2 linked regions of the Arabidopsis thaliana genome follow. The protein of the gene in region 2 interacts with the protein of the main gene of each other region in a pairwise test. Each region holds a gene or a part of one and is shown on either strand. Other genes may lie near its edges. The genes, in order: AT3G56520 and MYB31.

What was found.
Region 1: the proteins of MYB31 (region 2) and AT3G56520 interact in a two-hybrid assay, tested with the Arabidopsis thaliana proteins (one large-scale study listed by BioGRID).

The regions. Positions count from the first base shown.
Region 1 is NC_003074.8:20,946,317-20,949,546, forward strand, and holds AT3G56520 (NAC (No Apical Meristem) domain transcriptional regulator superfamily protein), read right to left. Parts: upstream 1,416-3,230; coding exon 1,247-1,415; intron 1,150-1,246; coding exon 791-1,149; downstream 1-790. Other genes in the region: NAC064 (NAC domain containing protein 64), read right to left, coding at 2,595-2,984, 3,074-3,230.
Region 2 is NC_003070.9:28,039,205-28,043,779, reverse strand, and holds MYB31 (myb domain protein 31), read right to left. Parts: upstream 2,635-4,575; 5' UTR 2,288-2,634; coding exon 2,155-2,287; exon of another isoform or gene 2,058-2,154; coding exon 1,928-2,057; exon of another isoform or gene 1,757-1,927; coding exon of another isoform or gene 1,737-1,756; coding exon 1,007-1,736; 3' UTR 759-1,006; downstream 1-758.

The sequences.
Region 1 (3,230 bases), on a different chromosome or scaffold from region 2:
CTACAAAAGTTCTAGCTACATTGAAATTATAGGACTAACACCAACAATTGCATAAACGTGTGGACTTGCAATTCGTAACTTGCAGATGAAAGGGACCCTTAAACCCTAGACACACGAATCAACAAATTTCAATTCCTGGACCTCCCTTTAATCGACGTTTTGCAGATGAAAGCGCACTAAATTTAATGAAAAAAAAAATGAATCTTCATAAAAATCTCTACTTTTTTGTCTTCGTTTCTGAAGGAAAACAGGAAACTTTACCGAAAGTGAGAAAGAAAAAGAAGCTAGTGCCGTCGGCGAACAACTAGTACTCTCCGTTCGGAAGAAGAAGAAGACGGTGGTGTGTAAAACTTCGTTCGCTTGTTTAGGGTTAAATAAATCCGGTTCTTGTAACGATAATGTACAAAACCGGTATTCTTGGTATCCGGTTATCGTTATTTCGGTTAATCAGGTCAAATCACATTCGGGTTATCGACTTATGAGTAGTCTACAGAACCTGAATTCTGAACTTTGTTGCTGAAATGTTTTTGTAAAACGATATTGTAATGTTTTGATTAGTGTTAGAGAGGCTAATTCTATGCAACTGGCCCAACTCTCGTATTAAAAGTTTGGAGATGTTACTTATTAGTGAAAAAGTGAGAATGTTTTAGATCTTTTAGTCAAAACTCTTTACAATCCAACCAACATGTATATATATATATATATATATATATATATATATATATAAAGAAGAGAAGCTAAGGTGCAGAGAAGGAACTGGAGGTCATATAGGATCAAAAACCTTTGCAGTCTATTCGGATTCGGAATCGATTGTGGACAAATCAGTAGTTTCGGGTTTAGTCTTCTTGCCAAAAATATGGCATAAAACCCAATCAGTATTCGCTACTGTTTGTGGGAGGCTAATTTCATCCATGAACCAATTATACTTTAAAGCTTCTTCATCATCAGATAAACAAATATTATCAGATTCTTCTTCTTCTTGCGCAATAAGAGTAAACCGACGCTTAATACCAACTAATGCATCATTATTCTTTGGATCTAGCACATTGGTTTCTTCTCCGATTGGTGTCCAGAGATTATGAGAGTTACTAGTAACTTGGTTGTCACGTTTTCTGCAAAAATAGTACCAATGTTCTTCACTTGGATAACCTGAAAGAAGGAAACAAAGAAAATTCAGTTGGCTCTTTCACAGGATGATTAAAGATGGACATTGTCTTTATAAAAGTTTAGATCCACGAATTCTCACCAGGCAGATCATGCGGATGTCTTGAGAAGATATCATGACACTCTTCAGGTATCGTACGAGCTTTCATGGGTTGTCCTAAAGCTTTTTTCTTCAAAAAATAGTTTGAAATCTCACAGTTTGTAGAACGAAACCTGAATCCTACGGGCAAAGCTCTGTGTGTTGGCTCCATTCTTAGCAAAAAAAAGAAAAGAAGAAGGTGAAATTGTGATTGAAGCAAACTGAAACTAGAATTCTAAAAGCTTGTTTATTGATCGAGGATGAATAAAAGTTGCTATGGTGAGCTACCTATTTATAGATCCCATTAATAAAAAGTAGTCCTTTTTGTTTAATAATTAGTAGCTTAAAATTAGAGTAAGTAAACGTTTTTTTAATTTTATTTTTTTAATAAGATACATAAAGTTTTGTTTTATTTATCTTATTTATAATTTCTTTTTTAAATAGCTTTTTTAGTTATCTTATTTATAATTTTTAATTTGTAATTTCACACAATTATTTTTTATAGTTTTAAAATTAATAGAAGGAAATTTTCTTTTTACAAATGTCAAAATCTAAGATCAATAGATTTGACACATGTCACAATCTTATGAGTTACTAACTTTGAAAACAATATTTTATATGAAAATAAAAGATAGTTATGAAATGAAAATTTTTAATACTTTTTCCCCCATAAAAAGACTTGATTACATTAAGAATAAAAGATCAGTAATAACTAATAACTATTTAGTACTTCAACAAATTGAAAAAGTAGTTAGTCAAATAAATAAAGATTGATTTTCTATCTTCAAAAATCAATTAAGAAAAGGAAAAGGAACAAATTATATTGAATAAAAGATATTGATTGTATTGTAGTAAGGAAATATAAATTGCAAATAACTTTCTGTTTTGAGAAGTGATTCATTTAATGGGGGCAGAATTAATTTCTTAAAGAGGGCAGTCCATTAAAATATTAAAAATTAGAAATTTTGGGGGTGGCACTGTTGCGTGCTTATAAACTAAACAAATGTTTAGAGGAGGAAATGAAGAAGAAGAAGACACCGGTGTTTTATATTTGTATGTGTTAGTTTAAAACGGTAAGAAAATGTTGGACAAATTGTGTATAAATGTTTTATATGATCAAGGCATCAAAAGCAATAAAGACAGGGAGAATTATCTCTGGTTTTGAAAAACAATGCCGATAGCAACTAATGAAATTTTAGCAAAAAAACTAATGAAATCTTCTCTCTGTTTTCTTTCTGATAACAAAACTCATAAAGGCACAAAAGCTAGATCAGTTAGTTTTCTTTTTGTTTTTGGTGTTTGAAAACAAAAACCAAAATGACAAAGTATGAGCAGATTGAGATCAGTTAGTTTAATGTTTTATCATTCCTTCTGTGTCAAAGAAGCCTTCAAACAAACCATAATTGTTGAATTCTTCATCTCCATCCAGTGAATGTGGTTTAGTGAATTCAGCCAAGAAATCTTCAAAATCGTCTGGGATCATCACTGGTTGCTGTTGAAAGCTGATCAACTCAGAAAAGTTATCAGGAAAAGGCTGCGGCTGATGATGTTCTGGAAGTAAACAATACTGCGGTTGATACACAATATCATGAGGCTGTTGCAGCTGCAATTGGTCTGGTTGATTCAAATCCAGCTGCTCAACGTCTTCTTCTTTCTTCAGCTTCTCATTCTCTGCTTCCTCAGCTTTCTTCTTCTTTGCTGCCGCTGGAGTCAGATAAATCTTGCACAAAGCATGATCCACCTATACACACCAACCAAAACAAAACACAATAAATCCAAAAGTCACGAATCCTAATAACTTGGAATCCAAGTAAAGACACTTACCCTCACCTTCTCGTTGTTGTTATCATCAGAAGACTCAAACCAGTACTCTTGCATTAACCAATCCCCTTTGACACTATTTGATTGTTTCCCAACATAGTACTCTAGTGAAGTCTTGTAGCCGACTATGCCATTTCCAGCGTTGATCTTTTGGGCAGCTACAGTT
Region 2 (4,575 bases):
CGATAACTGATTTAAACTGTGATATTGACAAGGTTAGTTATACAAGTATACTAGATAACTAAAGACAATTAAGTTATACTTAAAAAAAAAAGGTTATACTATTAAGTCATATTCTTTTGTTGTTTGTTATCACTAACTCCTATTCAAGAAATGCCAAAAGTATAGTCCTATTCTATTACTATGATTTCTTTTCACTGTTATATAACGAGTGGTGGCTGCTTATATTTAATGATGATTAGCCAATTTTGTAGGTTACATGATTTCAAAAAACCAATTACAAGAAAATCATACTATAGTCGTAGACTTTTAATGATTTCCCCCAACCTAATCGTCATTAATGCTCGTAGTCTTTAAAGATTTAACGATCGAACACTGAATTAACAGCATTCTTTCCGCTAAATAACACCGTTCACACTTGAAAATAATAATCAAGATCGTAAGTCTGACTTGACATATTTGTTTAGCTATTGATATCGTAAAATCTAGCGAGTAGAAAAAAAACATTGCAATCGAGTATTCACAAGACTAAATGGCAGTGCTAATAGAAACTAAATATAATAAATCCATATATCATATATATTTGTCAATGACAGAAAAAAAAAATCTTCGACAGTTCATGTAAAATAATTAATCATCGGATGAATTTGACCAGTGATATCGCCATGTCATCATTAATAAAATTTGCTACGTTACAAATTTAATTCTGAAAGATATAAATTCAACAAAACACAAAAAATTAGTTGTTTTTGTCCTCTTTGTTTTTGACCCAACCGAAAAACTTTAGTTTATTCAACTACTCTTAACTTTATAGTACTTTACATATAAATAGTATATCACAGTTTGATCTTCATCGACTTGACCACAAGCAAGCCACACAGTAAAATAAAATGTAACTAAAGATCATAGAGAAAAGACAAAAGAAAGAAAAATTAATAAACCTAGCTAGCTTTATCGTTGTTCTATACGTTTTATTTTCTTATAGAACAAATCTTGACTGTTGTTATCATTATTTTAACTCCTCTAAAGACACGTCGATGAGATCTTCTTGACTATCATCACACTGAACCAAGCCTTGATCATCAAACAACCATTTCTCGATCAATGACAACGAGCCTTGATCATCAGTAGTAGTAGTAGTAGGTGTAGCTTCCATGTCTATGTCTGGCTTGCTCTCACCTTTGAACATGCTTGTCTCGGACATCAAATTCAGCTTCTCATCAACTGATCCAGATTCTGAATTCGATGAGAACAAAGAGTGATGATCAAAAAGTCCTCCTTCACCGGGGCTTGAGCTCCGGTTGTTGGAGACTGATGAAGTGTTAGGCTTTGACGATGATGAGCTTGTCCAGTTCTGGAGTAATTTAGAGATGTTATCTGTGCTTGAGGCATAAGTGGTGGTAGAATGATGATGAGGTTTTGGTGAGTCAGGATCGGGAGGGATCAATGAAGATGGTTGGTCAAGTGACAAGGCTTGGAATAAGGCTTGTTTGGCCATGTTGATGTCTGTTTGAAGTTTTTTCTCCCATTGGCCTTTGTTGGTGGTCCTTTTGTTGTGATTACATCCATTGTTGTTATTATTACAAGACGAAATATCTGTTGCCAGATTGGTTTTGTTTTCGTTGATGATACCATTTTGAAACTTCATCATCACTAGTTTCTTTTTAAGATGAGTGTTCCAGTAGTTCTTGATATCATTGTCGGTCCTCTGAGGTAGATATGATGCTATAGCTGCCCATCTTATTTTCAAAGTGGACATCCAATCAAATAAATAATAACAAAAAAAACACTAATAAAATGAAATGCTAATACTCTATATAATTTATATTGTTAATTAGGAGATTACGGAAGATGGACAAACTTAGATATTGGAGATCAACGTGAATCAATTTAATATAAAACAGGGAGAATTAAAGGAGTAATTCCATACCTATTTCCCAAAAGAGCTTGAAGGTGGATGATCATCTTCTCTTCCGGTTGAGTGAAATTTCCTCGTTTGATCCCGGGACGAAGGTAATTAGTCCATCTAAGTCTGCAACTCTTGCTACACCTTAGCAAACCTGAAACATATATAAATATTTATATATGTGGAAAAATCTTATAAGAAAGATATATAAGAAGAAGAAAGAAGGAGAGTGAATGAAGATATATAAAGACCGGTGTTTGCAGGGACAGATCTCCAATTTCCAGGGCCGTGTTGTTGGATATAAGAGACCAAGATTATGTCTTCTTCGGGAGTCCATGGTCCTTTCTTCACCTCAATCTTCTCGCAACAAGGTGGTCTACCCATATCCTCACGCACACGCTCTTGATCGTTGAAATAGTACTTCGTGTGTGTGTATGTGTAAGCTATATAGTAAGTACTCTAATAAGATTGGATTTTTGGTATAGTGTCTCTGTGTATGTAAGCTAGATAGTAACTAGTAAGACTCTAAGATTGGATTTTTGTGAAGAGGGTCTACTCAAAATCTCTCTTTGGACTTGAAATAGTCATCCTCAATTTCTTTCCTTCTTTGAATCTTTCTCTTTATTTTTTTGGCTTCTTACAAGAGAGGTTTCACTAAAGACTTTGAATGTTGAGGAGAAACACAAATGTCCAAGTCTTATGGGTTGTTGTTCTTTGGATCTATATGCATTGAAATAAAGACGTACATATATTTAAACCAAAACGAGCACTAGTGCATGAATGTCAATTTTATCTTTATTTTGAAGAATTTAATTTATTTTTTGTCTTTATATATTAACATATGAAAACCTTAATTTCTTTTTAAATTGTGACCCCTAAAACCGGTTTTAATTGCCTACGAAGTTAACCGCAACACGTAAATATTGACAGAAAAAAAAAAAAATCTTCTACGTGGCTGCTGAGCCTAAATAAAAGCCTTTGAAGGGAATCGAGTCAATAGAGACAGCGAAGAGCATTAACTCATTTTCCGTTGCTTGTTCAAAAAGTCAGCCCTTCTCTTCACTTACGTGGCTATACTTAATCAAAGGGTTGGCACTGCAATTACGAGTCTTTAGTATTTTACCGATTATATAGGTGAGATTTTATATGCTTAGTGTTGAGAAATCACAATCAGTCTATTCTCCAAAAAGTTTCCTTGTCTTCTCTTCTCCTCTTTAAATTTTATATGCGTTAGTAGTGTTGAAAATTGGATCTAAAGATTCGCTAAGTTGGTAAATTTATTCGATTTTCGATTTTAACACTGACCAAAAATAAAACAAATCGAAAGAGCAAAGAAGAAGAATGCACCATAGTTTAAGTTCGGTGCAAAATCCAGACATCATGGCAAAGGTTTTCCCTCATGCAGATTCCATCCAACTACCATAATACATAAAGATTACAAGTTTTTATCCAAAAAGAAAAAAAGAAGAAGAGGATTATAATTAAGTCAAACGTTTCTCTCAAGTTTCATCACTAGTCTCTCACGAAGATCAGATCAATCTTTTATAGAAATACAAAGATTGAGGTACAAAAATCAGAGCAAAAGAACGGTATTTCCTGGCAAGGTTCATCTCTTTAGGTCTTACATTTTGTAACACCACAACTTTTTTTTTTTTTTTTTTTAACACCACAACTTTCATTTAATGATATTTACTGTCTTAGCAAAAAAAAAAAAACGGTATTGCCCACAATCTGTTACAACGAAGAAACGATTCTCCTCACGCTTTGTACCACATTATCATTTTGAATTGAAAAGGAAACGGTTATGTACGAAATACTATTATTTATCAATTAAAAATTGACGACTTCCAAATTATTTAAATATTTAGTTTTAGGCTAGAAATTATTTTCACTGCTATTATTTATCAATTAAAATTAGTAATTTTACCACTATTTTATGTCTTGCATATTTTTAATCTTTAATCAACCGTAACAATATATCATCATTTGTCAATCGTTAGTTTTCTAACCGGCCTGTATGTATTCATCGAACCTTTTTTTTTTGTCATCGAACCTTATTTTTCCATAATCCAGTTATATAAATTAAACAAGTAAAAGTGAAATACGATGTGATATGAGACCTAAGAAATACTCCTATTAATTAAGCCGAATATAAATACAGCTTTTACGTCTTCTTTATTTTAATTGGCGGCCATGCCTGATAGGCCTATAGTGTTATTAATAGCTTCAAAGAACAGCTGTATCCTTGTCGTAACAAAGATGACGGTGTTACATATATTGATAACATAACAATTACGATTAGTATTTTTCTTTTTCCTTTTTCTTTTGGGGGTAAAGAGCAATTTCGATTAGTATACTATCAAAACTTTATAACAATGATGAAATAGCTAGCTTTTTGTTTTTGTTTTGTTAAACAAATAGCTAATTTAAATTGTTTATTATTTTAAAATAGCTCTATACAAGAAACCCGGCCCTATCGCATCTAATTCACGTATTGTTCACTTTAATCTGATTTATTTTTGTTAGGTGTTTGTCTAAAGATTGGCATGATAACGTCCACGTTCTTTTGTTCATAGAAAAAAATCTGATCCACGTTTACTTTTCAAATGACATTCTTAGAACTGCATTATTCAAATGTCTAGTCAATCTATCAAATTAAATGGTACATCACT